Linked DNA regions of Daphnia pulex. The protein of the gene in region 1 interacts with the protein of each later gene in a pairwise test. Links are inferred from orthologs where the notes say so. Each region holds a gene or a part of one and is shown in the gene's direction. Other genes may lie near its edges. The genes, in order: ras-like protein 1 and trafficking protein particle complex subunit 6b-like.

Region 1 (4,606 bases):
CAAGTTTTGACGGTTCACGAAATCCGGTCGATGAGATAAGACGATGATGTATATAGCCGGTAGGAGTCGTGGATTCCGGAGCTGGTGCGTAGTTGAAGACGTTGCGACGGAAAAGACGGTTGTTGTCTTGGTGACTGAAGAATCAGGCATACAGTGGCTAAGCTAGGCTATTGCAACATCAAACATCGTGCTACATAACGGTCACTGATCTAAAAGCAAAAATAAAAAATGAACTAAAGAGCTGAGTGAATAAAATAAAATTTATTATTTTCCAATCCGCCCGTTCGTTTCTTTTATCTATAAAAAGATTTGATACACATTTAATACGCTTAGATTTTCCAGGTAAAATACTACGGTACCGGTAGCTATATAACCCATATAACAATAACAGGAAGGTAAATAATAAATAATAATAATAATAATAATATGGGTTGCTTATGCACGCGGCCAAATACATGCGGTCTTTTTGTCAGTTCGGCGGAAAGGATGGAACAAAAATATTGCTGACTGCGGCCGTTTAGGCTTATGGCGCTTATTTTATATTTCGCACGAAAGGAGATCTATACGGCGTATATAGGCTTGATAAAGGCACTTTCTAGACAAATCTGGTGAGTTATGATTCTCTTCCAAGTGTTAATATAAAACCTTGGCATTGGAAAGTTACACAAAAGAAGCCAACCATAGAAATCAAAATAGCCAACTAGAAATCATTGCATTTCCGACATTCTTAGAGTTTGCATAGCAGGGCTACTTTTATTATTGGCCTTTATATGGACACGCGTAGCCAATATTATTCTGTTTTGATTTTACTTTGGCGTATAGCCATCATCCCTTTCCGGCTTTTATGTTACTTTAAAATGCACGGCGGGAGAAAGAAAACAAGCAGTGTCACAATGCAACGCCTGCCTTTGTTGTAAAGTTCACGACACTTTCAAAAGGGTTTCCTCAGACGAGAGCGTTCACACATGAACACTCAATCGGAAAACTTAGGACAAAGTGAGCGTGATCCTTTTTTTATCTTCGAATAGCCCGACAATTGCTTTTCTTTTCGAGTAGCCTGACAATACAATCTCACAATGCGGTTGGATATTTCGGTCATAATTTTTGTCAAACCTTTTACCAGAATCAGTTCAATAGAGAAAAGTCGCCAATCAACACCATTTATCACGTAATCAGATTTATGCTGCATTCAACGCAAACTCTTTAGCAGGAGTACCACCACGTAGGATGGTATCACGTAGGTACATTTCAACAAAAAAAACGAATACGTAGCCTAAATGACTATTTTGCTATGTATCATGATAAATTACTTTTATCATTGGACATGAATAAAAGAATCTTTTTACGTAGGTTTTTCCAGACTATTTTTTCTATTTTTATTTTTATTTTTATGTTTTTGGGTGATCTGCTTTTGAAATATTAGCAATAGTTCTAAGGAAATTTAGCAAATACTGTTTGGACTATTATTGAAAAGTTGGTAGTGACAAGTAAAGAAGAAAATAAAACAATTCAAGTTTTTTTAATTCATTGTGGCCTCAAACTGTTGTTGCGCGCGCGCCTGTCGAAGAACATGTCCTTGTTCTGTACTCTACATCCAGCCGCAGCCCATGGAGACATCCGCCCAAATGCTAGCACTCCCAGGGTGAGCCTCCCAGTGTCGGTGGAGCTTTCGATCAGAAAACAAGACGCTCAAGTTGCTCTCATCGATTGCCGGTTGATGCTCATTTGATATTTTGGTATTTGGTTATTTGGTTGATTGTGTTACTGGCGAGCTGTGACTCATATTCTATCAATCAACAACTTAATCAGCAGTGAGTGATGTTATGCTACCGCTTACGTATAATATTATGTTTCACATTTTCACTGAGTTGTTGACTTGTCTCTTTTAGAGACAATCCAATTTTTTATTCGTCATTCAATGTTTAATTAATAGTTGGCCTTCCGTTATAGCTTTCCGAGCAATCAAGTGGAGCTCGTTGGAGTCTGTGCTTATTGAAACGCGGAGCTGGATTATTATCATTGTCTTTATTTATCTATCATTCTGCCTCACTTGCGATGGGGTAGCGCTATATCGTCATGGTCGATATACACAACTGATGTCTATATCCCTCGACAATCCGTCTCTACCTACCGCTATCTACGTCGGTCGTTTTCCCATATTTTCATCCTTTTCTTTGTACTTTCCTCTCGGATAGAGCCATTTGATTTTCATTGTTGATTATTGGTTAGCGTTGTTATAGGGCCGTTATTTTCATGGCGAAAGCCAGGGTCGCATTATATATCCTTGCACCGAAAAAGACGCTCCCTTTCCCGGTATACAAGGAAAAAAGATCGCTTTGCGCTTTTCAGCGAAAATCGTTTGGAAACGAAAGGGGGAAAAAAAGAGACACAAAAATATACTACGTTGAATGACGCACTTCCAGCTCACCATTTGTGCGCCGTATTCTTTTATTTGAATTCGTATCGCGTTCCGGAAATCTTTTCCTTGTTTATTTCCTTGCTGATGAAGCAACGCAGATTGCTCTGCGCTTATAGCAAAAATCCAGCTATGCCGCAACCAAAAAATAAATAGTATAACCGCTAAAAGAGCATCTATTCGTCATTCAGTCAAGTCCAGTTGGTTGATTGGATATATTTTTCTTTGTCGCTGGCTGAGCTCCTGAATAGCTATATCACTCTCTATATACCGAGGGGGAAAAGTAAGGCTACGTCAGCAATTAATAGTGCATTGAAGCAGTCCAGCGTCCAGCGTACGTCTTGAAGAGAAATTGAGATTAATAATAAGACGCCTTCTATAAACACAGAGCGACCGTGGATCATCCACGATCCACAGCCGCTCGTATATGTGCTATACGTAACATATCGCACATGTACTATATGTTACGTTTTCTGTGAAAATGGTATTACAGTTATGCGGATGATTTCCTGTTTTGTCTCCAAATGCTCTACCCCATTCTTGTTCGATCCTCGCGCCCATCAGCAGCTCGCTATATGTGGGGCGTGTGAGCCGAAGGCTATCAAAGACAGCTGCCGAGCCTTTGACAGACCTTTAAGATCAAAATGGTGGTTTCATCATATCCGTCCGCGTCTCTGCTCGTCCCTCTTCCTTTTGCTCTTTCTGCGATGATATCCTCCTCCCCCTAGGCCATTTCATCCCATCCGTATTTCTCACATTGCTGCTCTCAATTGTTATCCAGCGGGCGGTTCTGTCTAGTATATAGCAGATCCCATTTCCTGTGTCTCCCCCGCTTTCTTCCGTCTCACGCAATACTCTAGGCTATATATTCCGCATAGTTTGTTACCGAACGAAATGAAACGAGAATATTGAAAAAAGAGAAATCTAGTAACTCTTTGAAGGAAACCTAATCATCGTGACTGAGACATAAGACATAATATATAGTACCCCGCGAACCTCAGATGTCATCTTGAACATAATACAGATCTATCTGGATTCCTCTTTTCTGCACATATGAATTAGGATTGCGGTCGTGATGTTGGAAATTAAAAATAAACAAACAAAAAAGTTTGAATTTGTTGTTGCAGGCTTGGAGCAGACGTGGTCGAAGCAAGGAGGGAAAATCGATGGCGTCGCCACCCAAACACCAGCAACACCCGTCGGATAGTCCGCACTGCAACAAGTTGGTCAACCGCCTTAATTTGGCAACGTTGTCTTTAAGGCCACGATGGCGAGTCATGGTAGAGTTTACAAATCCTGATTTTCATTGCTAATCATTTTCTAATCAATGTTATTATTTTATGCACAGGTTCTCGGTCATCACTCGGTTGGCAAATCTGGTAAGATAATTTCAGCTTTTATTTGAGTCCATCATGAGTATATAGCTGATAAGAAAAATGTGTCGAGTTACAAAGTCTTTCCTAGCAAGCTTCCGAGCGCAATTGTTTTTAAATTTATGGCGAAATCGATACACCAGCTAGAGTGGAGTCTAATTTTTCAATAATATTGAATAGACTTGATGTATTCAGTATGCTCGGCAGTTGCTATGTTAATATTATGGAAAACCCAGGAAAAACATCAGGCCTTGTGATGTCTCATGCCGGTTGTCTGGGCTGTCAGTGTTGGTTGGTCAACTGACAATAGTATTTGATATCACCTCGTACACATTGAACCCTTCAAGAATAAAATAGACGGCGTAAAACGACAGGACGACCAAACAGACATCGCACATCACACATTTATGATAGTAAATAAGGTGGGCATATGTTATTTCCACGAACCCTTTGTAATATCAAACGCGCTACTACAACTCTAGAAGTGTGGACGTGCGTATACAGTATAAGTTGTGTGTTTGCGACGGCTGATTGTATCATTGCATCCTTTAAAAAAGAGCAAGTCAAACCAACTATACGACTGCTGCAGTGCATATGAGTGTGTAACTAGGGCAAGAGAGAGCACAAGTTTAGTAATGCAAATGAGAAGGCGATGTGAGGCTAATGGTAAAGCGCAACGACATGGCATATTACTTCGGAGAAAGGCTCTATCATTCCATCGCGATTGCTAATTCGTCGACGAGGCTTTGGCAGTCGGGAGACAGCTGTTTACCGAGAAGTCAACAGTTTCCCCAACATGTGTAGCGCGCAATGGGAA
Region 2 (3,096 bases), on another chromosome or scaffold:
AACACATTGTTCTTTGAGTTCCGATATCCTTCGCAGACTTCGATCTTGGGTCTCAGTTAGTACGTGCTACATGGAAGGGCAATAAGCAATCAATAAGAATTGGTGTTTTGGAAACCAAACAATATTCCCACCTTGACTTTTTCTCTGTCGCGCTCTAGTTCTTTATAATGTCGTGCCAAATCAGAGTAACGTCCTTTATATTTATGATAGCGCACCCTCATTTTCTGGTAGGCATTATAAACGTGCTCTTTGGATATTCGATCAACAGCATGCGTACCACTCTGGCTGGCGGAATCGTCAAATTCGCTTACATTAGACTCTAGATCCGACTGGACAGGAAACGTAATTCGATTAGGTTAGTTTATTCGATGCTTTGGTGAGGATATAGTACCTGGAATTGATACGGGTGATATGTCGGATCTGAAGAACCAGGAAGAAATGAGACATCACTGAAAACAGAGCTAAGTGATGACTGGCGGGATAGCCGACCGGTATGGTTAGCAGATTGTGGAGTGCTGGTCGTCATTTCTCGTTTGGGTTCATTTAGATTCACAGGTTGAAATCGTCCTTCTTTGTTTGAGCCTGATGGTGATGACGGTCGACTATCAACGTCGGCTATGCTAAATGCGTTGATTCCTGCTTCTCCATCTTCGGCGATGTCAACTAATGTCTGAGAAGATTTAAAATTAGATGAATGAGTTTTATGGATTTAATTAAATACATAAAAAACGATATGCATGTAATGTTGATGCAGAGGTAAGGCAAGATTTCAACAATAACAAATTGAACTGATATTTCTTATATTTCTAAAGCCACAGTCCTGTAAAGCCAACATGAGTGCACAAAATTACTTAAAAAAATGCAAAATTAATTTGCAAAATGCATCATTCATTGAATATCATCTCTAAGTTACCTCATGAGTTCTTTGAATTGCAGCATTTTCCCCCAGGCCACTTTGAATCTGTTGGGCTTCTATGACATCACCATTATGTGCTTCCCGAGTGAAAGGAGAGTACTGAAGGTTGTGAAGGAAAACAGGGTAAAAGCACAAAGCAGCATAATTAAAAGCTTGTTTTTCCATGCCCCACAACCAGACAAAATAGCTTGCACATTAAAGACCTCAATAGTTGATATTAAAAATACCGACTTGATCATCAATAAGCCATGACAGTAAAAACTCTTATGGTAATGAACACGGAGAATTCGGTATAGAATCCCTACCTGAGACAAATGTTGCTGCACAGAAGTTGGAAGCCGTAACGGAGATTGCTTTACTTCCTCAGCAATTTTATCCTTTAATTTCTTGAACATGATCGAACAATATCGGAGCAAGATCCACCTGTCAAAACTTATTGTATGACGTCACTCACACCATTAAGCGCTGGTGCTGCTCTCAAACCGTCAAACGTTATTTCAGCTTTAAGAAAATCTAATTGATTATTTCAATAATAATTTCACGTAAAAACTGCTATATTACTCAAGCGTAGTCGTATTATTATGTCTTCAGGGATCAGGAATATTTTTGAATTGTAAAAAAAAACTACAAAATTAGTTTTTCATACTAGGGCAACCGCAACCCAAACTAAATTTAGAGTTGTCTGCTAGAAAACCTTATTGTTTACGTCTCTGCACATATTCGTTCAAGTTAATTTCATGAATATTCTTGTCTGAATTAAAATATTCGATAATTTATTTACCTCTTTCGAACTTGTCGTGTATAAGAAATGGCCGATGATGCGTTGTTTGATTTTCTTCATATGGAAATAGTCAGTCAAGTGACAAAATCTGATCCTGGCTCCCTTCAAGATGGAGTAAGTTTTGTTCAATTCACATAGCTTTTTCAGAATAAACACTGACTGTTCTTACAGGATGAAGCTATGTCTAAATTGGAACAAATTGGCTACTCCACTGGCTATAGATTCATTGAAAGGTACAGAAAAAATCCTTTTGTATGTGACAGTTGTGACACTTAGTAATATTTATCATTTCTAAGACTAACCAAGGATTTATCAAGATTTAAAGATGAGCTAGAAGTCATGAAAGCTATCTGTAAAGATTTTTGGAGTGCAGTTTTCAAGAAGCAAGTTGACAACCTCAGGACTAATCATCAAGGTGTATATGTCCTCCAAGATAACAAGTTTAGGTTCCTTGCCTCAATATCCAACAGCAGGCAATATCTAGAATTAGCCCCAAAGGTATTTTATAACTTTCAACCATATTCATTTCTTTTTGTCTGATTATTATTCCTTTATGTGATTTCAGTATCTAGTTTTTACATGTGGTTTGTTGAGAGGAGCTTTAGCCTCCCTAGGACTCACCTGCATTGTTACTGCTGAAGTGACAACCATGCCAGCTTGTAAATTCCAGGTCCACCTCCAAAGAGCTTAATCAATCATATTAGTTCACATCATACTTTATTTTTGTTTGTTTGTTTTATATATGCATAACAAGGTGGCTGATGTCTTGGATGAAACATTAAATAAATGCAATTGAAATACTAAATTTTACCCCTAAACTTATTCCACCATAGTTTCCAAGGGAGCAGATTGTTCCGCTGCGATAATTTCGGATCAAAGACATTAAAATCCGCTGCCCTCAGTTGATCTAAATACGAATCCACACTGATTAAAGGCATTAGCGCAATCTTCGCTTCAGACGGTACTTTTGGGATAATAGTTCTTGCCTAATAAGAAAAGACGTTTTTAAATGAAACGAATTTAAACAAATAAAGAATGACTTTACCTTTTGAATATGGGCATTAGCTGTACTAGCTACATCAAAGATCAAGTCTTTCACTTTCTTGTCATCAGAACCTCTTAGAAAATCATTTTGAGAAACTTTGTGTTGAACAAGAAGATCAAGAGGCACATACACTTGTTGCCTTTTTGAATTATATGGGATTGCTCTCAATAGTGTAACGAGTCCTTGAGCTCTCCCAATGTGACTAGCAGCATGATCACTATCAACTTTTCTAATATTGAGAGACTCCAATGTAAGGTACAGGACAGACGAAACAGAATGTTCTGCATAATCCTCTACTTTTGAAAGAGATTGAAAAGCTTTGGAAGACAAGTGATTTTCTCTACTGGAGATCAA

What was found.
Region 2: the proteins of ras-like protein 1 (region 1) and trafficking protein particle complex subunit 6b-like interact in a two-hybrid assay, tested with the Drosophila melanogaster proteins (2 studies listed by BioGRID). The link is inferred for Daphnia pulex from reciprocal best matches to the Drosophila melanogaster genes CG5160 and Trs33.

What each region holds. Positions count from the first base shown.
Region 1 is NC_060022.1:5,752,982-5,757,587, forward strand, and holds the start of ras-like protein 1, read left to right. Parts: upstream 1-1,653; 5' UTR 1,654-1,811; intron 1,812-3,524; exon of another isoform or gene 3,525-3,543; 5' UTR 3,544-3,582; coding exon 3,583-3,696; intron 3,697-3,764; coding exon 3,765-3,795; intron 3,796-4,606.
Region 2 is NC_060028.1:8,533,187-8,536,282, forward strand, and holds trafficking protein particle complex subunit 6b-like, read left to right. Parts: upstream 1-1,569; 5' UTR 1,570-1,724; coding exon 1,725-1,811; intron 1,812-1,868; coding exon 1,869-1,930; intron 1,931-1,993; coding exon 1,994-2,195; intron 2,196-2,262; coding exon 2,263-2,388; 3' UTR 2,389-2,497; downstream 2,498-3,096. Other genes in the region: golgin subfamily A member 4-like, read right to left, coding at 1-66, 132-329, 392-670, 914-1,015, 1,222-1,311; NADH dehydrogenase (ubiquinone) complex I, assembly factor 6-like, read right to left, coding at 2,498-2,683, 2,743-3,096.